3 linked regions of the Oryzias latipes genome follow. The protein of the gene in region 2 binds, or shares a complex with, the protein of the main gene of each other region. Links are inferred from orthologs where the notes say so. Each region holds a gene or a part of one and is shown on either strand. Other genes may lie near its edges.

Region 1 (10,701 bases), on a different chromosome or scaffold from region 2:
CAGCATAAGCACTTCCTCTAATGTCAGCTGAGACCTACTTAGACATATCTACATGACATTTAGACTCTGAACTGCATGGTAGCTTCTTCTCCAACAGTTTCCGTTTCCACACACATCAGAAAAGGTCTACAGACTTTCCTAACCAAGCTAAATAACAATCTAAATCTGCGGGGGCTGAGACACACTTCAACGCATGACAACAGAGTTATTCATTTCAGGCTGTGGAGGCTTCAGACCCAAATGTGGAGTTTTGCACTTACACTCTGTCTCTCACACATCTGATGAAGATAGGCCCTTCCTCCGACAATGACTATCTGGGCATTGCGCGTGTTGCTCAGGTATGCCGCCAGCTGCCGCTGTCTTGACCGGTACCAGCACACGTAGAAGAATATCTTAACAATGATGAATATGATGACAACTCTGTAGAGGGAAAGAGACAAGAACTTCAGTTTTTATATGCTGAAAAAGAAAATGGTGCAAGTGGGATGGAAATCTTTCGGACATTTTGAAGAAGGTCAAGGAAAATGAAATCTGGGGCTAAAATGAGATGGAAATAATAAATAAATTTAAAAAAGAGAATTTTCCCAGGAGTCCAAAAGAATCTCAATGTTGCCCACTTCCTGCCTCAAAAAGCAAACTCTTCTCTGTGACATTTAGTGTTTACACAGGCCTACCAAGCCATGCCCCTTTGAGGTGGGAAATGTCAAAGCATTTCTGGAAAAAAAGAACAGTTTCAAAATCAAATTCCATCCAAGACTATTTGATATAATTACAGCAGTCTCATATGATAATCACATAAGTGCTCCTCCAGACAAAGCTGACTGCCATCCAGTATTATTACAACACACAATAGCTGAGGCTTGGATGCCTTGACACTGTCATTAAAATTACAAAGGTACATCAGTTATAATTATCAAATCAATAAAAAAATCATAATATACTTCAAAAATATATTCTTTAGGATGGAGGACGATATTTTAATTTAATAACTACCTCACCTGCAGCGGTTTAGCACTCATCTGTTGACATAAAAGTATATCCATGGTAAGGTGTAATTATAAAACCATAAACTTTACTCACATGTACCAGTACAGCTCCATGTTCTTCTTCAGGTGTTTATCTCAGAGAGGAGAATGTCATAACTGGAGAATAACGTGCCGAGTCCTGTCCGAACATCCAACTCAGTCTTTCCGGGGAAACAAGAAAGAAAAAAAAAGAAAAGTATATTTTAGAAAATATACTTTTTTTTTCTTTTTCTACACTATAACCTGTGTTTTTATAAGCTATATATGGGGTGCAGCAGAATACATATACATTTTTTGTGACTCGTTTTGTTTTCAAATTGTTTAGCAAAACTTAAGCACCAGTTATATTAGTGTTCATATATTTTTAATTATCATATTTGTATCTAAACAAGCATAGAAATGAACAATGATGTGAACTTACTAGTAACGGCGTCTTAAACTTCTGAGTTATCATAAAAAATGAGCCATTCGTTTTCACTTCGCCGTTAATGTGCAGATTAATAATCCCGAGGAGCCGATATGGCTGCTAATGTGGCTAAAACGTAGCAGGCCGAGGCAGAGAAGACTTTTATCACTCACCGCGGGGCTAAAACAGCGACCAGAACCGAACTATTTTAAAACCATGGCTGCTATTTTTTGAATACTAAAATCTATTTTTCAAGCGTGCGACAAGTTAACGAGGAGCTAACAACTTCACGCGCACGGCAGACTTGAAGCTAGCCGACTAACGAAGCTATGTGGTGCGTTTACAGCTGCCTTTCGCTTTGTCAGAGGGCGGTGTTCGTGAGACCTCGTGTGTGGAGGGGGAAAAACAATCGACTTTTACTCAAGATGGTTCTATTAGTAAAAAAAATACATTTAGGTGTCTGTGATATTTACATTCACCATGGATCACAATTTAACATTGGGTTCACGTAGAAAGCTAGAAAACGGTGTAACAACCCGTTTTTCAGCGACTCCTTAGTAGTTTGTAGTATTTCCAACAGTCCGCGAAGGCAGCACAAGCCTTCAATCTGTCAACATGGTGAGCACGGGTTAACTTGAAAAACAAATAATAATAGTTAAAATAAAGTTATTAAAACATTTTTTTAATTGAAAGTCATAATAATAATTACAAATGCTAAATTTGAAAGAGGGTGTGTTAAAAAGGAGATTCGTGTGAAAAAAAAACTCTTTTGGGGGTGTCAAAAGCTGTAGCAATGGGGACATATTTGTTAAAATTGACTAAGTAAAAAAAAAAAAAAAAAGATTTGTTAGACATTTTTCTGCAAGTTTTTATTTAAAATTCAGTGTAAATCATGTTAATAGGTTATTTAATTAAATTAGGGTTGCTACACATTTTACTAGATTTTCAAAATACTAAATTCTGCAGCTCCATCTGGTGATTCTTTTTTATTCACATTTTTACATGTAAAACAACAAAAAAGGATAAAGTAAGTTTGAATGGAGTAAAACATCCCCTACATTTAAAAGCAAAATTTGATCAAATTCATGTTTTATAGCATATTAGTTCTGTAGAATGTGATCATTTGTAAAAGCATACATTTATCTTCAAAAAAATATCTCTGTATGTTCTATTTACAAATTACTATTGTATTTTCATTAACACTGCGATAGAGAAGCTTTCTACCAAATGCTGAGAAATAATTTTATTAACCAATCCATTTCTTAAAATTTCACAATAATATATTCAGGAAAAAGCCATTTATTTAGTTCACAGACATGAAACCCTGCTTTACAAGTGCAAACGTCTTGACTTGTCCCCTGAGTGTCAGAAAAGCTCCTCATCTGTTGTCCTCCACAACAATAGTCCGTCTCGGGTAGGTATCTATTTCTACAAATACATAACGGAATTCATACTTTCCAGTTTCAAGATTCTGCAAAACAACAAGGATACCATTATCTCAACTGATCAAAAAATCCACACAAGAAACAACAGGTTTCCATTTAAATAAAGACTTACCTCTTTAGACTCTGAATGCACCGTCCCTTTCAGGCCCGGCTCCGATCCCTCAATGTAAAACTTTAGTCTCATGTGCTTAAGTCCATCCTTTACATACTCCACGTGACTGAAGTGGAAATATGAGAATAAGGAATAAAAAAACTCCAACAATAACATATATATGTAATAACCTTAACATTTTGTAACTCCATTCTTCCAGAGCTCCAGATTCTCAGATGCTTACAATAAATCAGCACGAATACCACGTTAGCTCTTCAAAAGACAATAAAAACTTTTATGTTTCATAGCTGTGGGGTCTGAAACTAAATTCTCCTTCATGACAAGTTTTGCATAAACGTTGAAGGAAATTCAATGCTGCTGAAAATATGATTTATAGCTGATGTTCACAGGTTGTGATTCTGAAAGGAAGTCCTTCAAATCCTGCAAAAGCATTTCCTCTAAAACTAAAGGCAGCTGCTTGTTATGCCAAGTTTGATCAGATTTACTGTATTCTATACCATGAATCAATGAATGCTAAAGCAACATTTTGCAAGTAAGAAAAAGTTCAATAAGATAAGATAAAGTGTCAACACACCTGACTTGCTGCCTTCTCCCTCGGCGGGTGGTCTCACCGTAACATTTAATTGGTTCTCCAAATGCCCCAATAACCTGCAATTGATTATGTATTTCTTACTTTTATTTTGGAAAAACAATGATTTCTAGCCATTTCAACAGTAAAAAAATATTGATAGGAGACGCCGTCTGGCTTGATTTTTACCTCTGGGTGCGACCTGACTTTGTCAAAGGCTCTGCTGTAGACTTTATTTGGGCTGGTAGAGGAAAACAGCTCTTGGAACACCACATATAACAGCCCCCCTGACCAACACAGCAGAAAACTGCAGCTGATTATTTAGGTTGTGTGTTCTGGGACCAAATAAATAAATATATAAACAAGCAATGTGGGATTGTTGTGTAGCCATTCCTTGGACTCGTGCAGTTCAATTCACCTGTTACTCCAAGCCCGATGAGGACCACGATCAGGTAGGTGAAGTCTCTCCCAGCATCTTTGACTGAAAGACAAACAGAGCAGAGGCTCTTGAGTGGCCAATGCATAGTGGAAGAGTTTAGATTTATAAGCAAAATTTAACCCAGAGTGAAAATATTCCAGGTTTGATATAAAAGGAAACTGTGTGTCTGTGCAGACGGGTAGCTCTATTAGACTGCGGCTATAAGAGATGACAAGAGGAGGAGGAACTCATCAACATAACGTTAGGTCTGGCCCTCTAGTATGCCCCGAGGTATTATGATGACAAGTCCTAAAGATCTTTAGTTAGTTAGTTTCTGCAGAGCAGCAGTAGTTCAATAGAAATTGACCACTGTGCTGTTGGCGTGGAGCAAGCCTGCTCCACTTCCCATCACCAACCTATTACCCGCTCCCCCTCACACCCCCAACCTAACGTTACCAGAGTTAGTAATTACTTCATTACTTTAAAAATAATGACATAAAAATAGAATAAAGGAGCAAATTCTTGGTCTGGAATATATATATTCCAATGCTGGAATAAATGCAAAATGAAATATATCCATTGATTTGATGAATTAATGCAGAATTTATCTTCAAGATTAATTTGGATTTTCTTTTCTTTTTTCAATAAACCTTGTTCAATTGGATTTGGCATTGCTTATTTCAAGCAACCAAAGCAAAAACAATGCTGAAAACTACACAATCAACATCCATACAAACTAAGATGTATCAAACATAGAATATTTAGTCATTTAATTAAAGATGGCTTGAAAGGGAGTGGAAGGAAGCAAACTTATCAAACTTAACATTTTCTTTACATGAAGTATCCGGTTCATAACTTCTAAGCGGATATTTATACCTTACCAACACAGTTTCAGGTCATTAAGAATCTTTAGGTATCAATAAATCACATGAAAAAGATGAAGTACATAAAGTGAGTGAATGAGGTATAGACTAAAGAGGGCCCAGAACAGAAACCTGAGGAACACCACAGGAAAGGGAGTAGGAGTTATTACTTGCCAAGAAACTTTGAAAGCAGCTTTGGTTGTAAGAAAACAAAATGGGCGGTCCTAAAACAAGATTTTTAGTTTTTTCTAAATAAAATAGTAGCTTTAAACCCCATTTAAAGAGACAAGACAGTAAATATGCGTTTAGTTGCACAAATCTGAAATGGGCATACCTTTCTGAGCAGAGGACACTTTAGGACTCTGGTAGGCAGAAACAGACCTGTGCTTCTCCTCCTTGTTTCTGAGGATAACGTGAACAGAAAAGCGTCTTCGTGTTTGACAGAGACAGCTCAGGGCGGACACAGGAGCCTCTGACCCACGGACGGACAGGCCGGGGATGACCGCTCCTGCTCTGCGTGTGAACAACAGCACGCCAGCCTGCTGCACGGGGAGAAATGTTTTCCCGGAGCTCCGCACACTTTGTTGCACGGCTTTTAAAATGTGCGTGAAAGACATTATTTTATCCGACGGACAATATCTGAAAAAAAGAAAAGAAAACAGCAGCTCATCTACTGAAAATAAGAATCAAATAACAGCGGTCTTTCATGGTAACATGGAATTGCAATGCTGGAAACCGCCATTCAGACCTCTGATTCACTGACCTGCTGGGTCGATCAGACGTCGAGGATTTTCTAAAGATGGCTACTGCCCCCTTCTGTCCCGGATGTCAAACTGCAGCCTTATTTGTGGTCTGGGGCTTTTTTGACCTTACGTCGTATTTCGCTTTATTGATTTATCTTCAAATCGGTTTTTGCGGCAATGCTTGATTTCCATCCTCTTTTTAAAAACCCACACTTCGTTTTACTGATTTTGTTTTCATTATACTGCACAATAACTCCACAATGAAGTTGAAACTGTCCAAAAAAGTCAATTCTGAGTGATAAATGTGGTCTTTTTTCTGCTAAAGATTCAAGATTCAAGAATTCTTGAAAAAAGACCACATTTTTTAGCAGAAAAAATGTGGTCTTTTTTCTGCTAAAACAATGATTAAAAAATTGAGATCAAACAGTTTTTATGTTTTATAACAAAGGTAAAACGTGTTGAGACAAAACAAAGTTATAAATCCAAAAAAACAAAACATGCAACAATTTAGACATACTTAATTAGAAGCAGAGTTTTTTCAACATAAAAATAATTCACTTAAGGTTTCAAACTTATTGACTTGGTACTTAGGATTATGTAAATACTTTAAATAGACCCTTAATTAATACAAGTTTTTTTTTTAATTACAGGTATAATTTATTTTAAAAGGATCCTTTCATGTTGATAAAAAATGAAAGGAAAACAAATTACTGCTCACTACAGCATTACTGGCTAAGGACTTAAATGCACAGCAGACATGAATATGTATTTGCTGAATGGCTGTTTGAGTCAGCACTCCCACAAATTTCAGAAACATCTGATAAATGCATATATTTTCTTTCCTATTTCAATTAAAGTTGCACTTTCCTGAAAGCAAATCCACATGATTGAGATTTTATAACAATGTTATTTAGTGTCTTTGTGATTATCAATTACATTTTTGGGGCTGCTTGAAGTTGATTTATTCCGAAACAATATTCCTGTCTGTTTTTATTCAAATTTTTGTTCAAAATAAGTTTAAAATGTTTGAAAACGTATCTTTAATGTGTTCACTAAATGTTTATCCTGTTCGGCCCACAACCTGGACCCCTGTGCAATTGAGTTTGACACCCTTGTAATACGAGTATATAAAATTCTTACATTTGTGTTGATTTTTGTGTTAATTAAAAATAGGGAACACAAAACGATGTGGTCAATGTGGGTGTGGGGGGGGTTGTAAGTCAGTGTAGAACTGCCACTGAACAAAATATTTCCATTGTCACACCAGCTTCCTTCTTCCTCAGGGGATTGGTCAAATACAAAACTGGTCAATTTGTAATATAATCTATAATAAAGCAAGAATAAATAAATAACAAACACAGATTTTGTTTTAATTTTCTGGCTACTCTTGTTGGGGATCACCACAAAATCCTCCCACGTCGTTTGGCTTCAGTTTTACAGCGGATGGCGTCTTGGACTCAACCCTCTGCCTTTACCCAGACTCGGGACGGGTTTGTGGAAATGCTGAAGAGTGGCCCCATGTTGTCGCATTTGAAACTCAAATAAGAGAAAAACGTTGCCACACAATAAAAGCGGTAAATATTAGTTTATTTAAAAGATTCAGTCCAGCATTTTCCCAATATGTTATCAAATAAATGTCCAAACTGAGTTTTAAAAAATCCTCTGCATCACAAACATTCAGAATAAACTGTTAGTAAAATGCAAAAAAAATAAATAATAAACTAAAAATTAGTTGATCCAATAATTAAAAGCTGTAACATTACCTTTAACTTTTCTAATGACCAGTTTATATAAAACAACACAAGTTTCTATCGTGAAGACATCACGTCAACATAAAAAAATAAAAGCTTTTGTATTTTGACAGATACTTAAAAACAGTTTTCAAACCTGTAAAGATTTTTTTAAGTCTCTTCAAACAAATTTACATTAAAGGTACTGTGTTCTCCCCCAAAAAAGTTAAATTTTCTGAAAGTTGTCTATTTCAAATGATACTTCAAGGTTCTTCCACTCTAGAAAAATCCATATCTTCCATCCAAAGCAAATGCAAACTTTCTGCTAATTGTTTTCCCTCATCTCTGCAATCTACAAGTTACTACGGAAAAAAGTCCTTTAAAGAGGAGTGTGGGAGGGAAACCGATACGTCGCTGTGAAATGTGTCCGGATGCAGAGGAATGGTGCATCTGCAGAAAAAGAACAGCATCGTTAGTGCAGGCCTTCTCCTTGTCCTGCATCTTTGTCCACCGCTGCCCCAGCTGCTTCTGACTGAATTGACCTGGACTTACTTAATTAGTGACGTCTCCGCCTCCGTCTCTGAGCTGGTAGATGAGTTTGCGACTTTGCGTGTGCGCGTTTGTGTGTGTTTGAGAGGGAAGAAACAGACAGAAAAAAATCGATAAGTGCATGTGCAGCTCTGCACAGGTTTCCTTCTGGATTTATTTCTGTGAGAGGTGAACTGTCCAGCAGTGACAGACACAAAGTTAAAGCGATGTGTGCAGAAACAGAAAAAAACCCAACAGTTTATTTAGTAACCACAGAGATGACTGCACATGGATCAGAGGAAACAGTGGATGATGCGTGTTTTTGTGACACTAAAGACACACGTACAGGCGTGTACATGATGAATGCAATTCAAATTATTACAAAAAAGAAATAAAACACATTTAGACACGAGAAAACTCACAAGCACAAGTGTGTTAATGTGTCAAAGAACTGCACTGGCAAAATAAATCCAGAAACATCCTGTTTGGAAAAATGTTTGCATCAATTTCTGACTAAATATTATCTGATCTTTATCCAGTACTAATAAACAAAGAAACCTAAATTATTACAACTAATTAAGAATTTTAGGTATTTTTTGAATAATTTCTCACAGTCCAAGGTAGATAAAATAAAATAAAAACCTCTTCTCAACTGCTTCCCAAAGGCCACATGCAGAAAAGAGTCTTAATATGGAGGCCTTTAAGCTCTAAGTTGGTATTTCTGACTAAATGCGCTACTTTTTTAATTTTTATAAAGGAATTAGCCAAAAAAACTTCAAGATTTGGAAATGGATGAGAAAAAATACACATTTTTTCAAGGAATAAAGGCACTGCACATGAAACTCGCAACCCTCACAGTCGGCTTCCAAACACCTTTCAGCCAATCGGAGAATACGGAACTTTAAATATAAAAATACTATGTTAGTATTTGGACAAAACTTATGACTTTCAGGAGATGCAAATGCAACAAACTGTGATGCAAATCAGACAAGGAAGTTGTTAAAATGATAAAAACAAACCACATTCTTGATGTGAACTCACACATGGAGCAGGATGACTTTAAAAAAAATCTTCCAACAAAGATTTTTCAAAATTATTAATCTTATTGAACATGTGCAGCAGTTTTGCAAAGATGCATAATAGAGCATATTCAGATAAAATATTATTTCTTACCTATACAGTTTATTTTTATGGTCAGATCCCAAATTTAATGTAAAAAAAATCTTTGTAAATTCCATTACAACTTTTATCTATATTCCTTCATAATGTGAATTTTTATGAATTTATTTAGCGAAGGCTGCCTTTTTCCATGACACGTTGCAGGATTCAATAGCCGCTTTTGTCACTTTATTGTCTTTTTTGATAAGAAACAAATTACTTTTGTTCTTAACTAATGTTCCTCAGACAAGAACACACAGACAAATGTAGATCAGATCAGTAAATTCAAGAGAAAAAAAAGGATACAATTCATTTCTATTGTTTTATAAAGCACAGGTAAAATTAGCCCTGAAAGATCATATTTTTTAAAAACAATTCATTCTTTTGATACCTTTAGTATAAATGTGTTTCATTATAAAGACACGAAGCTCCTACATTAAAAGTGATGTTCTATTTTTATTTTTATTTTGTTTTAGTTACAAAATAAAAAAAAAACAAAGCCTATCTAAAAGTTAGTTGAAATGTTCAGAAAGAAATATTGTCAAATTAATTTAGGATATTTTAGGGGGCAATGTTGTGTAAAAAACTTAGTTGAACATGCAGCACACTCAAAGTACTTTGAGGGTTCTGAAGGGAATTATTAGTATTAGTAAGAATATTCTTAACCATTTTATCATGTAGATGCTTTTAGAAAAGAAGCATGCAGAAGCAATAGTCTTAAACTTTTTTTGGTAATCCCAGAAATCCCGAATTGGATGAAGTTAGTAATGAATTCCATTTGTTTCAAATTTTGACCCAATTTAAGGAACTCTAATCAGTTGTTTAAATCAGAATATTCAAGTCAATAATTCTAAATAAGTGAAACAAAGACGATAAGTCAAGTTAGGAGGGACTTATAACATAGACGAGTGTTTTGAACGACCTGAAGCTCAAATTGAATGATGTGAAAGTAAAAGTCCAGAGGAGGAAACAGCCTTTCACAGCAGCTGGGCTGATTCCATCTAGTCCTCAGTGTTCAGCTTTGCACATGAAATCCCCCCCCCAGTGTTCATTTCATCAGTGTCCTTCATCATCATCATCATCATCATCATCATCATGCTGGTGTAAATCTCTGCTCCGCTTTTTCACTTGTCAGAGAATTCCGCTCAAACTGCGCCAGGAGAACGCTATTCTCAAGAAGTCTACATGATGGAGACAATGCAACACAACGCAGAGCATCAGCAGACGCTTTGTTGACACGCCAACAGCAGACTGCTCTGTGGCCTGCAGACATGAAGCTGCACAGGTGAGCTGTCGTTGCGCCGATGGTTTTTTTTACCACATTAAATTAATTAAAAATAAAAACATTTTTATTGTTTTGTTGCAGCTTCATGAACACACTGTCACAGAGCATGCAGCACACAATCTTAACACAGGCAAAAACATTATGCATCACTATTAAAAACACATTTAAACATAATATACTAACTGAAAAACATGCAGATATATAGATTACTCCTGAACATAATAACTCTCAAAATATACAGAAAGTGTTATGGTGACGGACAAATGTGAGGACAACTTTGTTAAACATCCTCAAAGTTCTTTTCTATGCAGCCTGTACCCTGACATGGGTAAAAAAATTCAAATCAAATACTAATTTGTTCCCATGAAATAATTGTGATCTTTTACACACCTCCTATTGCCAAATAATTAGTTCATGCAG
Region 2 (10,393 bases):
AGTAAAAGTTAAACATTGGTGGTACATGCATGAAAAGTCTGTAAGACATATGTGGAAAGCCACAAATTTGTGTATGCATCTCGCAAAAATACATAAACTGCGTAATTCTCAGCCATATCAACCAAGACTTCTGAACAGCTTGAGACCAAATCCATGTAAAGACCCGTCGGTCAAAACCCTTGACGGACATCAGCACACATCGACAAGTGAAAAACGAAAGAAACACTCATGAATGACATAAATCACGCCAAGATCATGACATTTCATACGTGCAAAATGTGCAAAATGTATGACACGGCCTTAAGCAACCAGGTTTTTGTAAAAAAAAAAAAAGCTTTTTTATTTACCTCAGCAGCTTATAGTCAAAAGGATTTACCACAAACTGTCCGTATAACCACAAAAATAAAGACGAGACAAGTTCTTGTGGTTAGCTCCACATCACAAGAACCAACTGAGACTGACCCAGAGCTGGAGGAAAAATGAAGCAAAGTTTTATGGTGAAAGTAACGGCACTGTGAAATGATCCCAAGATATGATCCCTTTATGAGCACCACCAAGCAGACATGGCTATCAGCTTCAGCTCCAACACGAGGAGAGGAAAACATGGTCCTGGTGACAAATGGTCCAACCCTCATGCACTTTATCAGACAAAAGTAGAATGTATCAAAAACACTTTTCTGGTGAGTCCAAGTTTTTTTCTCAGACACGGTTTGTGTTATCAACATACCTTACATGTTTCGGCGGAATCACTTCCGCCTTCGTCAAGTGATTCCGCCAAAACATGTAAGGTATGTTGAAAACACAAACCGTCTCTGAGAAAAATAACTTAAGAACTCAGTTAACTTTGTAGACACAATGAACTTTATTGAACACTTTTCTGGTGTTTAGCAAATCACATGGCAGTCTTCAATGGGAACGCACCATGAAGATATGGAAGCTGGACGTGACTTGAATGGTCAATGATTGGTTCTATTGTGCTGAAGTTAAAAGGCACCAAGGCTGATGGGCACCAGGATCAAGGAAGGAACCTGAGTTTTAGGTAGGGTTCTCAGTTCTGGATCAAGTTCTTAGGTCGAGGAGAGGTTTCCAAAGTGAATGATATACCGAGTTCTGAGATATGGTCCCACATGAGGTTTCCAGTTCTGAATTGGGTTACCATTTCTTGGAGGTTGTTCTAGTTTTTGGTGATGTGCTGGGACCATCGTTGCAACTAATTCAGCAGGTCAACTAATCTCATCATTGGCTAATGAATCTATCAATCAAACTAATCAGCAAAGCAGACATGTTCGCTTTCAGCCAATCGAATGGCCCTTTCGACTTTCTCTAGGCTGGTTATTGAGACTGAATTAACTCTATACTCTGGGGGGGACGGGGGTCACGACTGCTTAATGAGTGTCTTCACTGCCGTGGGAAAGAGGCTATTCCTCAGCCTGTTTGTTCTTAAGACTGAGTCTGCCAACATTTGGATATGGGCCAAATTTCCTCTCCTGGATCCGGCTCTTGTATACTTCTCCTGTAGCTTCTGTGATCACAAATGGCAAACAATTAAGTATTTTCCGTTATTCAGAGGAACACGTCAAGGCTGTCCAATTAGTCCTCTCTTATTTGCTTTAGCTATAGAACCTTTATCTATTATCCTTAAATCATCAACTTGTATAAGGCATCCACAGGGGAGGGGAAGCTTGGAGTTTCGTTATACGCAGATGACCTTTTAATGTATATTTCTGACCCTGTCCCAACTGTTCCCCACATTGATGATATCCTACAGAAATTTGGGGCTAAATCTGGATATAAATTAAACTTCAGTAAAAGTCAGTGCTTCCCTCTCAACAACTTAGCGCTTCAATTACAAGACACTGCCTTACCGTTTCAGATGTCCAGAAACGGTTTTAAGTACTTTGGAATTAATATCACAAGAGACATGGAAAGTCTGTATCAAGAAAATGTCCTCGCCTTACTGGAGAAGGACAAAGTAAACAGTATAAGAATGAATATACTTCCCAGATTCCTTTACCTGTTCCAGTGCATTCCCCTCTACATCCCTAAATCTTTTTTTTTATAAAACTCGACAAAAGCTTTTCTTCATTCATCTGGAGCGGCAAGAACCCAAGGGTCTGTTTAGAATTATTACAAAGACCTAAACATCAAAGGTGGCTTAGGCCTACCAAACCTGTGCCACTACTACTGGGCCTCTAATATTCAAAAAATTATGCATTGGCTCCAGGCTTCTGACATCAACTGGTGTCAACTCGAAGCCGCCTCCTGTAAAACAACTCTGACAGCCCTAATTGGATCTAGTCTTCCCTGTGTCATTTCACACTATATTACACACAATCCAATAGTTACAAATACCTTTAAAATTATATTTCAATTCAGACAGACGTACACACTCACTCAGGTGCTTACCACTAGTCCTATACGCAAAAATCCCCTTTTTCTCCCTGGTCAGACAGACTTCGCCTTCACAATTTGGGAAGAGAAAGGTATTATCAACTTTAAGGACATGTACCTAAACGGTATATTTGCAAGCTTCAATGATCTTGCTTCCAAAATTAATCTGCCTCACTCTCACTTTTTTCGTTACCTTCAAGTGCGTCACTTCCTTCAGCAGCATGACCTTCCCTAACATCCCACCAGTCTCCATGATAGATGAGGTGTTTGAGTTGCCACTTAATTCAAGGTACAAAAGATTAATTTCCAAAATCAAAGACTGCATATCACTTCATGACAGCGCAGCTCTTCTGAAAATAAGAGGTAGCTGGGAGGAAGAGCTTGGGCGGATTTTGGATGATAATGTATGGAACCGGGCCTTACAGAGAGTTAACCACAGTACCTCCTGTGCCAAGTTAAATATAATACAGTTTAAAATTATACACAGGGCTCACTTCTCTAAAGTAAAACTGTCAAGAATTTATCTTTAATTCATCTGAGTGCAAATTGTGACAGATGTCAAAATAGCCCAGCCAATCTAACCCACATGTTCTGGTCATGCTCTGCTCTGGTGAATTATTGGTCTACAATTTTTAAAACTTTATCAGATGCTCTAGATATCAGTCTCCAGCCTAGTGCAGAAGCAGCCATATGTGGTGTTTCACACCAAAACCTAGATACATTAAGAAAAACACAAAGACATTCTTGCTTTTGCTACTCTAATTGCAAGGCACCGTATATTATTGCACTGGAAATCTTAAGACCCACCCAGGGTGTCCCAGTGGCTGACGGATCTTATGCAACTATTAAAACTTGACAAAATAAAATATTCAGTTCGGGGATTGAGGGACACATTTTTCTCAGTCTGGGGTCGGGTTTTAGATCACTTCTTCTCCTTCGCCTCCTCACATTCTACCACCACGTCCGCGTAGTCTATAGTTTAAAATATTCCAGTTATTACTAATTATTATTAGCATTATAAGTATTATTTTTCTTACGTATAAATATTATTACATAAGCTATTTATGTAACTATATTTCTCTAATTTATGTTGCCATTTGGTTGACTGATTTGGCCATTGAGTTGATCATATAGAGGTAAGCTTTTGTTACATTGGACAATATATATCATAGCTTTGTATTGCAAACTATGGAGAGGGGGGGGGGGGGGGGGTTGAGGGTGTTCCTCTTTCTTTTTTTAAAGATATTCATTTATTTTCCCTTTTTTGCAGGGGTGGGGAAACTGGAGAGTGGTGTTCGGAAAAAAGAATAACTGGCCGAGTTGTATTACAAATATGAAACTATATGTTTGTTTCTTTGTATTTCAGGTATGTCGCAATTCTCTTTTAGTTTGCAATAAACAAAAAACAAACAAAAAAAAGACAGTCTGCCAGAGGGGAGATGAGTGAAAAAGGAGCCTCCTGAGTGAAGAGTCAGTGTTGACAAATGTATCCTTTCCAACAGAGACTGAGAAACATTTGAAATAAATTACAGTCAAAGCTGCGCCTCAGCTCTTTGGTTCTCATTTGCACGCTGCAGAATGACGTGCACCGTTCTACAAACAGCTTCAGCTCTGTGTACGAGGTAATGATCAAAGCATAGCCCGTCCTCAGCACCAGACACTGGTCTGGAATTCCCGTTCAGAGCCATTTGTCCATGTCTTCCTCTAGTGTACTTTCTTCTGGCGTAGCTGGACGAGGAGGAGGGTTCAGCAAGTCGATGACGGAACCTTCCCGGAGGTGAAGCTCAGCCTGTTTCAAATCCCACCTGCAGGGGGGTGCACAAACTCCTTATTAATTTGTACTGAGCGTTCAGAGGAAAAAACTGAAGCAGACCCACTTGTGTGTTTGTGGCTCTCTGTGTGAACACGTGTACAGATAACCTCCAGTCTTTGAGCCTGTGACAGGAATCTTAATCTGCAAAGAAAAGAAAAAAAACACATTCAAAAAATAATTCAATTAAACCACACATCTATTTTTATCTACAAGGAGAGAAATAGAAGTTGCAGTCAATAAATTTCCAACATTCATCAAAGTGACTGTAGGTTGTTGTCACTTTACACGTTAAGAAGCCCATTGAGGCTGCTGTTGTTGGGAATTTGGGCTATACAAAAAAAAAAATTAATTGAAAAAATTGAATTACATGAAGATACACGAATCTGTCTCATAACCACTATTGCCCCTTTATCCATACTGAATACCATGTCCCAATCTTACTTTTTCTAGATACTTCCTGTGTATATATTTTGTACATCAGACCATTATTATTATTGGCAGTTTGACTGTGGGTTGAGATGACTGTGCTGGATGCCATATATATTGCATTTTTGACAACAAAGCTGACTTGAACTTGTAGACGCGAGTGGGAAAGATCTCCTGTAACATTCAGTCAGTACCACAGAGGATCTGAAATAACCTCTGACCAAAGACACTCTGCGGTAGGATTTCTGTAATCAGAAGCATGCTCCAAAAGCAGCACATGGTGAAGGGGGAGGGGCAAGGAGGCGTCCACCTGATCATCAACTGTATTTATGGTAAGCAAAGCATCTGGCTTACCGTCATATTTAGTCCTTAAAACCCATCCTTTCAAAAACAACTTCTCATCACTTTGCGTATAATGATGCATGTACATTAGGCCTGCACAGTATACCGCAAATTTATCGTTATCGCGACATTAAGCTGTGCAATATGCATACCCCAAAAGACCGCGAAAATCGCAATAAATGGTTACCTTAAATGTGCTAAAACAAACTCATGGCAGCTTGAAATATTGAACAAATGAAATAAATCCCTTTATGCATTTAACCAGTCGGAAGGACCCGTTTACGTTGTTGATCAATCAGATGAGCCCTTTTATGTTTGATGTTTGCCTCCTACGTCGACGAGGGTCATTTGGAGTATAATTTTTAAACTGTTGCAGTGAACACGGAAATGATGTTTTTGGTTGTTTTGCTATTTGTTTATATAGCGCGAATTATATCGTTATCGCACTATTAATCACCAATATCGCATATCTTTCTCATTCAAAGAGTTTTCTTTATTTTCATGACTATGAAAATTGTAGATTCAAACTGAAGGCATCAAAACTATGAATGAACACATGTGGAATTATATACATAACAAAAATGTGTGAAAAAACTGAAAATATGTCATATTGTAGGTTCTTCATAGTACCCGCCTTTTGCTTTGATTACTGCTTTGCACACTCTTGGCATTCTCTTGATGAGCTTGAAGAGGTAGTCACCTGAGATGTTTTTCACTTCACAGGTGTGCCCTGTAAGGTTTAATAAGTGTGATTTCTTGCCTTATAAATGGGGTCGGGACCATCAGTTGTGTTGTGCAGAAGTCAGGTGGATACACAACTGATAGTCCTACTGAATAGTTAGAATTGTTAGCGATGGGAATAGAAGCCCCATGAAGCTTCCCTTGGGCTTCATGTAATTGTGCCGGAAAAATGAACCAGCCATTCAGGGCTTTGAAACCACACAGAACAGCGGCATCTGGTGGCGGACTGGCCGTATATCATATGCTTCAACTAAGCTCCTTGTAACACTTCAATGTAGAAGTGATGATGGAAAAAAACGTAACACAAAACATTGTTTTTAATAATTAAAAAATAAAACGTAAAACAACATGACATGTGACGTTTTCTGTGAGAAGTGCTTGACACAGCAAAACACTCATGACATGAAGAAAATAAACACAAAGCAAATTATTTTATTTTTTTTAAATGCTGGTCTTGAACCCAGCACCTCTGGATGCAGACCCCATTGACTTGCTATAGTGTATTGTGTACATGTACCCACTGAGCTATCGCTACTGATACTGATTCACCTAGCCATTGTAAATTCATTGAAGTGTGTCTTATTTTACACAACGTCTATTGTTCTATTAGGAAAAATCGAGTTGAAACGATCCTGAGCCACAGTACGTTTTTACCAGGAGCCATGGTAAAGTGCAATGAACTGATGCTGATTACGATACAGGGGAAACAATAGAACTGGTCGGGAAACATCGTCCATCGTGATGGGTGAGTGACATCCCGATGGAGAGACACCATCGTGATGCCACGCCCCCGCCAAGCTGCGAGTCGACACCATAAGCCCCGGTTACATGTGAAAAATATCTTGATGGGATCGATGGTCGGATTAGAATCCAACTGTGTAGATGGTTCCAGAAAAATGTTTTCAGATTATAACAAACGTTCACATGGGTCACACTTTCGGTCGGAATAAATCATTCGCACATGCGCAGTAGGATTTGAAAAACCGGAAGCGGATATCAGTTCCGCCGAGCGGCTATTTTTTTCTCAAACTTTATTGAATGTAACAATTCATTACAAAACAATGTTGCAGAGCGGTTTTATACATTGATATGTCAGCTCGGTAATATACAAGACGATCATCTAAACCTGCTTTTAATAATGTTACGGTTATTATGAAACGCCTGTTCGCTCATCGTTTTATTTTTAATCAGTGCTTTTTCTGTTGAAAAACTGAGCCAGAAAGAAGCCAGAATTAGCAGTATGCTAACACGGGCTAACAACATTAGCTTGGGTGGTGCTGCAATCTGCATCTTGGCTGCATGTAAACATGTGGGAATAACATTAGCCTTTATTTAGTCGGGACACGACTCGAAACACAAATCCACGTGATTGTTTGAACGATTTCTAAGGACTGAGCGGCCTTTCTGCTTTGAAGCTCAAACCGCCCCAAAGCGCTGTGTGTGTGCTCACGATCCTCTGCTCAGACACACACTTTTCGACCCGGTTCTGAGTTCGGTAGCCCATTCCCCTAGAGCTGCGGAATGGATCGCAGTTCTAAATCTCCCACATACTACCGCTCATGTAACAAAGCACCCCCCTTCCCCTCAAACACAAAGCTGTAAGTCCACGCTCCGCCGGTCCACTTGACTAGTTAAGAGCGGGAGCGGACCGTTTCTTTTCTAGTTTGTTTGTTACTTTTTTTGTTAAAGTCACTTCCCTCAGTTTATACTGGATCATCGCGGATGAGTCATTAGTTGGGAAATAAAATAAATAAAGTAATAAAGTAAAACAACGAATAGCAATTATATAAGACCGAAATATTAAAAATAGCCCCCCCCACGACGATATCATCGTCCATACCGATGATTGACAGCAAACATCGTCAACGGCCAATTTAAGGGACATCGCCCAACCCTACTGCCAGAACGATATTTATTTAATTATTTCTGAGCGCTCTTCAGCGTCTGACTCTTGTTCTCCACTTCATCCTCTGACCGCTAGTTGGCAGCAGAGAACACGGAGCCTCTTAGAGCAGCTCTACTCTGCACGAGACAACAGGAAGACTGCAGCCAGAGGCAGCTTGTTCTGTTGTTATGAGACATGAAATACTTCGTTTTTACTTGCGATGGATACCAAACAGAAACTCTGAGCCATGTTGCTTTTTATATGTTGCTTCTAGCAACATATAAAAACGAGGATTGTGATGCTTTTTAGCGGCTCAGATAAATAAGAGTGAAGCACGGCAGCGGCTAAAGAGGCTTATGCGCTTAGCATCGGCTAAAAACCTGCTAATCAGCAAAGCGGGCTAAAATTCTGCAAAACATCCCAGCAATAGATTCTAGTTTAGCGACCTGATGGATCAGAGGAATGTGTACAACGCTCTGAAAAAAGGCGACATCGTGGCGAGGAGCGTTAGTTTACCTCCGTGTGAGATGAAGCGTGGCTGGAAAGCCAAAGGTGCAGCACAGGCAGAGACTGATAATATGTAAACAAAGCACTTTTGTCACATTAAAGCATCTTTTCGTCGTTCCGTCATGCTGCCTCATCATCACTTTATTGTTTCTGGAAATAATCAGTGTGTCCCCCACACCCCACCCTTTATTTTTGAAGCACCATTCTGACTCCTGAACCGTTTAAAAGTAATGGAGAAGCTACATTAAGCAAAGTTGAAAATAAACAGCATTTTATTTGCCCAATAGAAACTTATTGGTTAAGGCTCATTCATTCTTTGTTTTTCTTATACTGAAAAATATTTTGTTGTGGAAATCAAACAATGTTGACTGTTCCCTTTCTATATTTTAACTTACCAAAATAAAAGCACTATGAATTTGCTTTGGTAAATGGAACTTATACATGAGACGCAATTGCAGCGCTTAACATTGTGATCATTTAATAAACTGAATTTGACCATTTTATTGCAGTGGATGACATATTGAAATTCAGGTTGAGTTTTTTCAAAGCCATATTTAAAGAAAAAAAGAAAATATGTTTTGGTAAAATTTTGGGATACGTATCGTATCGCCAGACTCTTGCCAATACACAGCCCTAATTTGAGGTGGGACAGGTTTCAGACCTAGATTTGACAAGTAACAACTAGAATTCTGCTGCTTTTCCTGTTCTGGAGGATGTCACACAACTAAACTGTGTGTTTAAACTGGATTTATTCTGCCTTCTGTTATGTCGGCATAAGCAGGCTGCATACAAATGCACAGAATTAATTTGTGAATATTTTTTTCTGCCTAATACTTTGTTAGCAAAAATAATCCTATTTTTCATCTTCCTGTGATAATGGAGAAACTGGTCAGTTTACTCATCATCACACAGCGGCTGGACACCCCCCTGACAGACTGTACCTGGGCTGCCTGATGGTCCACACGGTTGTATCTGTCAGTCAGATGGATGTTATGAACTCGTAAGGGCGGGGCTCCAAGGCTCTCCATGGCAACAGGACACGCCTTCAGCTGTCGCACAGCGAGTTGATGGTATTCACTCCCAGCAAAGTTTTCTGACGAGATAGCAGAAAAGAGAGCATGCGCACGTACGTGTGCATGAGTCACAGAGACATGAAGGGGCTGCAGCAGAGAGACAGACCAAGACATTTGCGGGTTCCACTCCTAAACCAGAGCCACTTTCAGACCGTAAAGCGGAACCAGGAGTTTCTGTTTTGAACAGACTATTGCTTCAACGCGTGCACGCACACATGCACTCACTCTGCATCAGGTAGTACATGGTGCCAACGCCCCCACCCGTCAGGACGGTAGTGAAGATGGTGAGCCTCTGCAGATGGTGGATGGGGACCCTCATGGTGCAGCTCTTCCTGCACAAAAAAGCAAAGACAGATGAAACGGAGCCACGATGGCGGCTGAGCTGCAGACACCAACCTGAGAGACATGATGGAGGGAAAATCATCAGAGGATGCTGCCAGAAAAATGACTTATAGAGAGGAACTCTCTAGGTCTACAGCTCTGGAGTCCTGTCCTGGTTTCTAATTTGTTGAAACTTTATTTAAACAGGAACAGTGTACACAAATCCCAGAGAAAACAGGAACATTGTTCTGATGTTTTTTTTTTCTCCTGCAGGAGGAAACATTTCCAAAAATCCGAAAATAAAGATAAAGCATTCACTGTTGAAAATATTGGGATGTAAAAAAATGCTTCTAAAAAAAAAATCACCGACTACGAGGCACCGACTGGGCGGGGCCCTTTTACGTCATCGGGAATGTCCTGTCAGCTGGTCGAAATGGCCTCTCCATGAATGCTGTGGCGGACAAATGCGCTCAGGTGAGTTCAGTGTCACTCTTACCTGAACACATGCGGCTCTACCGGCGCGTGCTCTTCCCTGACCCCTCCCCCTCGTTTGCGCGGTTCTCCGTGAGCGTGCGCCGCTCTGCTGCAGGTTAGATCCGGAATCCGTCCGTAACACGTGTTCACGTGGGTTTAAATAGGGACGGTGGCCTTTGTCTTCTTTCTTCTATGCTTATCGGGGGTTTGTGCCGCACAAAGGCTGTTTACTGCCCCCTGCTGGACTCTGGACGCGCTGCACTAGATGAAATATAGAGGAAAATGGAACAGTCTTCTTTACAATTCAGTTTTTCCTGGACATGCAGGATAACTTCATACTGCTAATAAAAGCTGGCTTTCTTTCTTCGGTCTATATTCTGCACCATTTTAATGGAAATAAACGGGTTTTATCACCACTCT
Region 3 (9,574 bases), on a different chromosome or scaffold from region 2:
TCGTAGTGAACCCATAGAGATCAAATATTTACGTACATCTTTTTTGCACGACCCTCCATGGACCCCTTTACGGTGGACTGTGGCATCTGTACGAGTCCGACGTTCTTTTTCTCTCTCTCTCTCTGTGTTTTCAGAGAGGGACAGCAGCTCTGTACTTCGTCTACACGGCTATGGAAGAGGAGATGGAGAAGAACAAAGATCACCCTCACGTTGCTCCAATCTATTTTCCAGTAGAGCTGCATCGCAGTGAAGCTCTGGCCCGAGACCTGGAGTATTTTTATGGAGAGGACTGGGAGAACCAGGTATCCCGTTTCCAAAGAGTAACTCTGGAAAATCTATTTGTGCTTCATAAAGAGTCTTATTAAAGTAAAGACGCATTTGTTCTTCAAACAAAAAGATTTAGGATCACATTAGGAATATTTTGGGCTGATCTTGCAGATCAGCTTGTCGGCGGGAACTAAGCCTTATGTCGACCGGATCCGCGAGGTCGGGCAGAAGGACCCGGTGTTGCTGGTAGCCCATTCCTACACCCGCTACATGGGAGACCTGTCAGGTGGACAGATCCTGAAGAAAGTGGCCCAGAGGGCCCTGAAGCTGCCATCCACAGGAGAGGGTGTGAACTTCTATCAGTTCGAGGGAATTCACAGCCACAGGGGCTTCAAGCAGCTCTACAGAAGCCGGATGAACGAGCTGGACCTGGACATGGAGACAAAACTTAGGATTGTGGAGGAGTCCAACCGGGCCTTTGGCTTCAACATGATGGTGAGTGAACGGGCTGGAACAAAAACCCGAATGTGAGGACGGAACAGTGTGACAAGGGCGGTGATCCCAACAGGTATTCTCAGAGCTTGAAGAGATCGGAAAAAGCATACAAGAGGAAGTTCAAGAGCCAGGTTTAGGACACAGTCATGCAGAAGTGATGCAAGGCGGTGATATCAACAAGTGCCCGTACTATGCCGCTAAAATGGGTAAGGAATTCATATTTTCCTTTGGTTCATAAGTTTCATTGCCGAAAATGTTTTGGGTTATTAAAACTATTATAACAGAAAAAATCCTGTTGTTTTAAGCAGCTTATATAAGACAGTTTCTTCATTTTAGCATGTCAGTGTTCACTTTTATCCTGTCTTTGATTTACTCCTTCAAACAGCTGCTGGTGGAAATCCGACTTACGCCCTCCAGTTGGCGACCACGCTTGTCAGATATCCACCCTGTCAGGTGCTTCTGGCAGCCTGGGTAGCACTTCTGGCCGGGTTTACTGCTTGGTACATCTTCTGAGCCTTAACGAAACCTCAGCGGTCATTGTTGGTGAATCCCTTCAGACGATATAAGGATTGGTGTTCAACAATGGCAAACTTTAGTCGTCAAAAGCAAAACCGAGACTTCAATTGCTGTCTTCCAGTATTTATTCGTTTTCAATGAACAAGTTGTAGTTTATGGGCATGATTTGATCTGTATCATAGTTAGTGGCTGCTGATCTAATTCATAGTTGATTTTGGTTCATTCTGAACGATCTGATTGGATCCAGATCCTCTGAACCTAAAGTGGATCCAGATCCTCTGTCCTAAAGTGGATCCAGATCCTCTTGATCCGAACTTCCAGCAGTGAGACTCAGACAGAAATTCCTGCTACCGAACAGTTTTCCAGATTCTTGGATTTCTTCCAGATCATCAAGTTAATGAAATCTGTGTCCAAACCAACAAGTAAACTAGAATGAATGTCAAATCCATTCACATGTTAGTTTCCTAAAGTTCACCACTGTTGTTTTTCCACATCCAAAGAATCCAAAGGGAACATTCTTAGAACATTCTAGACACTGGATGGTCACATGACTTTATTCAAAGTCTGTCCACACATTGGACTGGAATGATGGACTGATCCGTGTTCATGACATCACACGTGTGTCGTCTGCTGTGATTGATCGGTTTGACCTTAGAGTCAAAAATACCTACTGTACCTCAATTCGTTTGAAATGATTTTTTTGATGGCAATATGATTGATTTGCAACTTGCCTCAGACAGATCAATCTGGCTGGATAAATCGGTTCATCAATTAATCTTTACTCCCCTAATGCACACTCGTTTGTGTGTGATGCTAAAACAATTCTTCATGTTGTCGGTCAGAAATGCTTAAACATGGAGGGAAATTAGCAGAGTTGGAAAGATGCACTTTGAAATTGGATGCACATTTGTCAATAAAGATTGATTGAATCCAAGCTGGTCTTTTATTTGTTTTTTGTCTGAGAGAGTAAATTGTACGTCTTTTCCTCTTTTGAAGTTGTCAGCATGAAGCTTGCTAATTAATGCCAAAAGGCTGACTTTAAAACGTGAAACTGAAATATCTGACATGTTGAACGGCTCCCTGTGTTTAAAGGCTGTCCGCGTTAGAAAGACGAAATGTCCATGAGGCCTGAAATGTTAATGAAGATGAATTTTTATGAGCCGGCTACTATATATTAAATTATTGAGCAAATGGGTGGAGATTCAATGTTATAAAACTGATGTTATGTAATTTACCAAGCCCCGGCAGCTACGCACTAACCTAGATAACCGGCGACTGTTGATGATGTCATCAAGCATCAATAGTTTATCCAAAACTCTGGGCTTGAAGGGATAAATGTAGGGGTAGGGAGAAACCGGAGGGGTAACGAATTAATTCGGATTCAACCCAATGACTGGATTTCTTTTTCTTCTCTGAGAGCTGAGGTTTCCTCTGAAGAGTGATCCTTCCAAGATATCTATTTCTAGGATTTTTTTTAATCGTTGAGAACATTTCTTTTAGGATTTCTACAACTCATTTAGCTCAGAAAACCAATTATTGATCCTGAAACTGGACTCCGTGTGTCCAATCAGGAAAAATCTGCTACAAATGGCGGACAGATGTCTAAGGCTGAATCCGGATTCTTCCCTCATCCCTGCGGCTTCTCCCTACCCCTTCATTTAGCCCTCCAAACGGAGGGATATGGGAAAATATTGTCTCCTGATTCGGGCATCACTCCCACTCGACGACATAATCCATAGTCCCCGTCAGCGCTCGGAAAATTCCTAACATCAGTTTTATAACGTTAAAGAGTGACGCTAAAACAAAAAGTCCTTAACTTCAGTCCTTCAGAGCAAACCCAAGTGAAGAAATGCATTTCTCCTCTACAGGATCACCCTTTTGAAGGGTTTGCCCCCTTAAACTATTTCAGACCCTCCAAATGCCCCAACAATTGGAGGAATAGGGAGAAGCCGGAGGGGTAGAGGAGGAATTCGGATTCGGCCTTAGTTAGCATTGAACATGTGAAGGTAACAGTCAGGACTGTAATATGTTTACATTTTTATTAACTTCCAGCACAACAGTTTCCCCCCCCCCAAGAAAAGTTCAAAGAATTTATGTTAAACTTCCAAATACTTTCTCAAAGCCCTGTCTATCCACCACCTTTCCAAAATACACAGAGAAATACAACGTCTCGGGGCCGCTGTACCTCTGAAGCCGGAGGATGGTCTCATTCGCTGAATCTCCAGTATCTCCAATGGTCATAACATCGGAAACAGGAATGTACATATCACTGCGCTTTCCCCAGAAAGTAAGGTGGGAAACTTTCAGCACGGTTTGAGATGGATCAAGGTACATCATTCCTACAACCCTCCTGAAGAAATGGCTTAGCGTGTACAGCATGACGCCAGCAAACGCAGCGATTCCAGTGGAGTAGCTGACCAAAAAGAAGGAGACGGCTCCCTGGAAATACAGGACAAACACTGGAGGCAGGATGACAGCAGTGATGGCGGTCTGGAGGAGTTTAAGTCTGGACACCGCCCTGAGGAACTTAATGTGTGGCAGGGTGTAAATCATTGAATATTTGGGGGTGGGCGAGTCGTAGTGTCGGATCAAAGTGGGAACTTTAGCTGGAACGGGTCCAGGGTGGCTCTGAACTGATGAGGAGTGTGGAGAAGGAGGAGACTCCAAGGTGTAAGCAATCCGTCCTGAGAGCAAACAGGATCCTCTGGTACATGACAGAAGGCGGGACGTCAGCCTCCGCAGCAACAGCGACTCCATCTGAGAAAAAACTTCACTTAGAAAAACATCCTTCGAAGTATGCTGAGAGACGGAAAAGCAGTTAAGGTTAGTTTCTTCCAATATCTCATAAAGTGATTTAAAGTTACTGGTATGATATTGGTCTGGTTTAGTTCAACCAGACTCTAACATACATGTTCAATGAAATCTGGGATGGATAAACTACAACATTTGCAATACAGTCAACTAAAACAGTTGTAATTCCTCCTAAATTTGCTAAATGGTATTGTAAGTCAAATGTCTTATTCCTGGTTTTGAACTCGTCTCTGGTATCTGGAAAAGGTAACCTGCTGAGACTAGAGACAGTTCATTCTGAACAGTTGTCGAACCTCCAGAACTGTTTAGTATATAAATAAAATATAAATAAAGACGAAACATCTTAATTGACGAATGAAGTTTTGTTGCTACAAGCAAAACGTGAGGAAAAAGACTCACCAGGACAGGAGACAAGGACATAAAATAAGATAAAATACAGCAACACGAGAACAGGAAGTGATCTGTTAGCCGACCAGTGACCCGGAAGTCCTTTCTTAGTCTTTTATTTTATTACTTCAATTTATTTCAAAGTCACATTTTGTTTGGTTGGCTGGCCCACGTAAGGCGTTTTAAAGTGCTGATAGTATTTATAGCCATATTTTATTGAAAAAAAATGTTTTATATTTATTGTGGTAAATTGTTTTTATTGGTTAAAAACTACAGGCTTTTATTTTGTCGTGACTTGACGGAGCACATCCGGCCCGACGGGAGAATCGATCAGCTTCAGCCGTTAACGGCTGTGTTCAAAGACGCCGAATGTGCCGGTTTCGTTACACGTTCGATGCCGTCACAAGTCAGCGGGGCGGAGCTTGTGCCATGGCGAATATCTGTGCCTAGACAGGTTAGAAAGTCTGAGTGACGCGCGGGCGGTGCTTCCGCTTCCTCCAGCTGTTTCCAGACAGGAGAGGAGCCGCGATGCTTCCGCTGGGGGACGAGGTCGCCCTCCACTCGTTGGTCTTCGTGCTGGTCTTACTGGGGACCCGAAGTCCGCTGTGGTCTGCCGTCCTCACCACTTCCTTGTACTGTTTTCTAGCCATGTTTCGTTTCCCGCAAGTGGCGCGCAGCCGAGCCCGTCTCGTGCTGCAGCCGGTGGGTTGCGGGGCGGAGAGCGCGCGGGTGTCCGTGATCGCTCACCGGGGCGGCGCGCACGACGCGCCGGAGAACACCATCGCTGCCATCAGAGAGGTGAGACGAATGTCTTTACAGGTGTTCACGGTGTCCTGTGTCACGTGGAGACGCACGTCAGTCAGTGTCACATTATTGTGAAAGCTCTGGTGAAAACGGCGTTTCTGGTGTTTTTAACTTGATCTCTTGGCTTTTTTATGGTGATGAAGGACAAATATGAAGAAAGTTGAGAATATAACTGCTTTCCTGAGTTCTTTTTTATTCAAATCGTTGTGGATCAGGAGCAGACGAAAAAATGCTGTTGGAAAAAGATCGTATTTGTGACGTAGACAGGGGGCGGCGCCCATCGGTAGCTTTGAGTTGCTAAAGCAACTGCAAGATTTGGCAAAGCAACCCCAAATATGTAGGAGCCCCACCGTTTGAAAGAGCTTACGTTATCGGACATGTCCTGACTAGAGCTGTCCAAATCTACCATTCCAACATCCAGGGCCCTAGAAATTTCCCAGAAGTCTCTGCTAAAAAACAGTGTGCATGATGCTCACTAGATCAGCGAATATAGACCACAATGCATTGCGTTGGACCAATTATTACCAAAAACATGTATTTTTTTAATGAATCAATGTTTTTATCTTCAGAAGACGGTTGACTAAAATAATCGGTGCAAAACGCTCATAGTAATTATATTTTAACTTTGTGAAATCGATGACATCATATCTGCCGTGTAAAAAAAAAAAAAAAGTTGTGAGCATGGAGTCTGAATTGCTTTTTAAATCCAAGACACTACATATATATATGTACATATACGCTACACAGTTTTTCAGTAGTTAGAGTTGGAATTCAGACAGAGCAGAAGTTTAACTATTTAAGTTAAATGATTAAAATCAATTTACACAAAAACACTGACTGGATACATTTCTTAAACCTTAACGACCACGAACAGAGACGGGTGACCCAGCTCATTTCAGGTTTCAAAAATGACCACATCAGCAGCGGTGAGGATCTGCATCACATGGAAAATGCTCTGGGCGGGGCTTCAAGCTCCCGGCTCCGCCCCTCTTGTGTGCTTCAGTCAAACAGATCCATGAACGTCCCTGTTTTTCTCATTGGAGCAGGAATCTGGATCTAGACTGTTGTTTCACATGTAGTTTTCCACATACGTGTGGCCAGTTTGACCCAGAAGAAGGGTTCAGGTTGGGATTATGGTTCGTGTTAAACCTCCAAACGGTTCCTCAGGGGCTGTTTCTGCAGCAGCGGTGAGCTGCAGACACAAATCGCACCATTGAATCACTCAAAAACATTTTAAAAATAAAAAAAGCAAAACAAATAATTAAAAATAAACAACATTACATTTTGGGGAAAAAAGACATATTCCAGTAACCAAAAGAAAAATTCAGAGAACAAAAGTCATTTCCACGAATCGAGATGAAATGGTAAAAAAAACAAGTCAACAAAATAAGAAACTAGAAAAGGTGGTTATTATGGGATGTCCTTGATTGGATGATGAGTTTTGAAGAAGAGGGAAATCAGAAGGATGGTTCACCAAACGGTTGCAGTGGGCGTGGCCAGAGGTTTAACCACATGGTTCTGTCAGAAGATATCGCCATGACGGATAACTTCCTGTTGAAAAGGTGAACAAACATCATCATCCAATCAGGAGGGGGCTCCCCATAATATTTACAGTTTCTGGTTTCTCCTCTTTTGACATTTCATTTGGATTTCTGGAAATTACTTCTGTTTTAAGAAACGTTTCCTTTTTCTTTTGAGTCATGTTTTTGGGGAATTGTATTTAGTTTTAGTTTTTTTTTTATTGACCTGTAAGTTTCTGGAATGTTGTTTACGTTTCTATCATGTAAAGTTGTTTTGTTTTTTAATGCTGTGTGATCTTAATTTTCTTTTCGTTGAGCGACTAGCTGAAGGGATTTGCCCTTCAGGGCCACCGTAGGTTTGACGTTACATCCTGAACGTTCTCCTGCCTCCATGTGACGGTACTGGAATCCCGCAGACTTGACCCTCTGATTGGTGCAGGCCAGTAAGAACGGAGCAACCGGCGTGGAGCTGGACCTGGAGTTCTCGGCAGACGGCGTCCCCATCCTGATGCACGATGAGACTGTGGACCGGACCACCAATGGATCGGGACCCCTGTGCCAGCTGAGCTTTTCAGAGCTGAGACAACTGGATGCAGCTGCTAAACACCGGCTCAGGTAGACGGAGTACAAACAACCAAATACACAGAGAAAGTGGGAAAACGATGTTCTACTGTTAAGATATACGGATCTTTAAGGTTTAATTACAAGTCGATTATTGTTTTTTTTGTCCAAAGTTTGCTTATTGTACAACTTGTTTACTCTGGTCTGTTTGCTTTTTGCAATCAGTGCATATTTATCCAGCAAACTGAGAATCTGATTCTAGAGAGGAGCCTGTAGCTGAAGGCTCTGTCTGCTTTTCGACTTTAGAAACTCTAGAAACGCTGATCTAGCTTGCTGTTAACGTGACAGTAAAGTTAAAAAAACACGTCATATCTGTGTGACGCTGTGGGACTTCTAGTGGCGCCCGTTGTGCAGCAACCAAGGCCGCCAGTTCCTACCAAGAAGGGCATCGCCATCCGGTTGTTGGTCACATGACTCATTTAATCAAGAAAGTGTTTCCATTACAGTATTTTACAGTTGTGAAATATGTCAATTTGGATGTGCCTCAAAAACCACCTCCTCTAAGCTCAAAAAGCTTTTCTTTTATACATAATTGTGAGTTTTTTCTAACTTGTCGTGTTTCCATGAGGATGACTTACTATCGCAAATCCAATTAGCATAATTTCAGAGCTGTGGTTCTGCTTGGCCCGGTTTGTTCATTCACCAAATGAATGACTGGACATACAGACGCATTTAGAGTGAAACAGATTTGTGTTTTTGCATTTCTCGTCACCAGGGACAAGTTTGCTGGAGAGAAAATCCCAACTTTGGTTGAAGCAGTGGAGGAGTGCATTAAACTGCAGCTCAGCATCTACTTTGATGTCAAAGGTCATCCAGAGGAGGTGAATCCTGCTCAACAGACATGAACAAGTGAAGCATGTTGGCTGATTGAATTGATCTGCATGAAGAGAACACGGATGATCAGGGGGTGGAAACACAAAAAGAGGGTCTGACATCTATTCACTTTTCCCCGTAGCATTTTAACCATTGACTGTGTCTGAGAACTGGACTGAGTGACTCCTCCCCCCTGACGTTCCAAACAGGAAGTGGCTCCAGGAAGCCAAAATCCCATAGAAGTCTATAGAGAAATAAACAGCAGTTATTCATTCTATTGGTCAGTATAACCGTTCCGGATCTGATACCATTTCTTAACAGCTTCTTGATAATCCTCGTTTTTTGTCATATTTTTTCTGTAGTTCAAGTTATTCAAGTCATGAACTGACCAATCGGATGTTGTGAAAAGTAGGCGGAGCCTGCTGGCCCCTACCTCCAACGTTCAAACGTTTGACAGATTTTGTGTAGACCGCTTTCAAGTGGTAGGGGCGTGGCCTTCCAACAAACTCACTCCCGACTGGTGAGCGTGGTTGTCATAGAAGCGATGACTCAGCCCGACTCGGACCAATCACTGCTGACCGAGGATTTTTTTGGCTCCAACATGGCGGCGTCCATACGGCAAAAAGATTGATGCCTTCAGTTGTTTGGAGCTGGAGACGAAGCATTTTGTGTGGATGAGGTCACACGGATTCAGTCCAGTTCTCTTGACACAGTCGAAGCCAGAATCTCCCTCCTTCTGAACGAACGCCAGGTAAAGGCCAAACAGGTGTTGTCTGCTCAGGACAACAGGAGAGTCGTGGATTTACAGCAACAAAATGTTTTCTGTTGAAAAGCAGCGATTCAACTGATGCCAGTCAGAGTATTTCTCAGTAGTTTCTTGTAAACTGTTTTCTCTGTTCAACATATTTGTAGGTGAATTGGGAATGCAAAGCTGCAGGGCGGATTGTTGTTTCAGGAACAAGCATTCCTCCGTTGGGAGCAGACATCTGCGTGTTTATCTCCACACACGAACACGACACGCATGAACAAAACTCCCGGCGGCTGACTGACCTTCAGTGTCTTTATTTCCACCCAGGCAGCTGCAGCGCTGACAGACGTGTATAAGAGACACCCAGTCCTGTACAACAGCAGCATGGTCTGCTCCTTCGAGCCCAAAGTCATCTACAGGGTAAGGGGCCTCTGGTGATTGGTCCAGGAGGAGGCTCAGACGGGACAGCCTTTTTCTTGAGCCTCCCCTTGGATCTCGATCCAAGAGGAACTGTACAGTGCTTTGGTCTCAGCTGCAGTTGATTTATAGATAAGGTTGATGAGGATGATGAGGAACAACTCGGATGTCTTCC

What was found.
Region 1: cytochrome c oxidase assembly factor 1 homolog (region 2) and timm21 share a complex: the UniProt entries of both Homo sapiens proteins name them as parts of the MITRAC (mitochondrial translation regulation assembly intermediate of cytochrome c oxidase complex) complex. The link is inferred for Oryzias latipes from reciprocal best matches to the Homo sapiens genes COA1 and TIMM21.
Region 3: cytochrome c oxidase assembly factor 1 homolog (region 2) and tmem186 share a complex: the UniProt entries of both Homo sapiens proteins name them as parts of the mitochondrial complex. The link is inferred for Oryzias latipes from reciprocal best matches to the Homo sapiens genes COA1 and TMEM186.

What each region holds. Positions count from the first base shown.
Region 1 is NC_019878.2:15,515,483-15,526,183, forward strand, and holds timm21 (mitochondrial import inner membrane translocase subunit Tim21), read right to left. Parts: upstream 5,601-10,701; 5' UTR 5,586-5,600; intron 5,477-5,585; 5' UTR 5,455-5,476; coding exon 5,172-5,454; intron 4,038-5,171; coding exon 3,975-4,037; intron 3,844-3,974; coding exon 3,746-3,843; intron 3,637-3,745; coding exon 3,563-3,636; intron 3,095-3,562; coding exon 2,989-3,094; intron 2,903-2,988; coding exon 2,810-2,902; 3' UTR 2,286-2,809; downstream 1-2,285. Other genes in the region: uncharacterized protein LOC105356682, read right to left, coding at 261-420, 1,081-1,100. UniProt on the Homo sapiens protein: Participates in the translocation of transit peptide-containing proteins across the mitochondrial inner membrane.
Region 2 is NC_019875.2:5,298,682-5,309,074, reverse strand, and holds cytochrome c oxidase assembly factor 1 homolog, read right to left. Parts: upstream 10,153-10,393; 5' UTR 9,996-10,152; intron 9,974-9,995; coding exon of another isoform or gene 9,948-9,973; exon of another isoform or gene 9,873-9,947; intron 9,511-9,872; 5' UTR 9,498-9,510; coding exon 9,404-9,497; intron 9,199-9,403; coding exon 9,047-9,198; intron 4,346-9,046; coding exon 4,269-4,345; intron 4,197-4,268; coding exon 4,070-4,196; 3' UTR 3,712-4,069; downstream 1-3,711. Other genes in the region: blvra (biliverdin reductase A), read left to right, coding at 9,948-9,973. UniProt on the Homo sapiens protein: Component of the MITRAC (mitochondrial translation regulation assembly intermediate of cytochrome c oxidase complex) complex, that regulates cytochrome c oxidase assembly.
Region 3 is NC_019859.2:36,184,357-36,193,930, reverse strand, and holds tmem186 (transmembrane protein 186), read right to left. Parts: upstream 4,649-9,574; 5' UTR 4,510-4,648; coding exon 4,489-4,509; intron 4,036-4,488; coding exon 3,370-4,035; 3' UTR 3,301-3,369; downstream 1-3,300. Other genes in the region: heme oxygenase 2, read left to right, coding at 135-302, 439-762, 836-968, 1,148-1,275; gde1 (glycerophosphodiester phosphodiesterase 1), read left to right, coding at 5,005-5,274, 7,240-7,415, 8,137-8,242, 9,310-9,402. UniProt on the Homo sapiens protein: As part of the MCIA complex, required for efficient assembly of the mitochondrial complex I.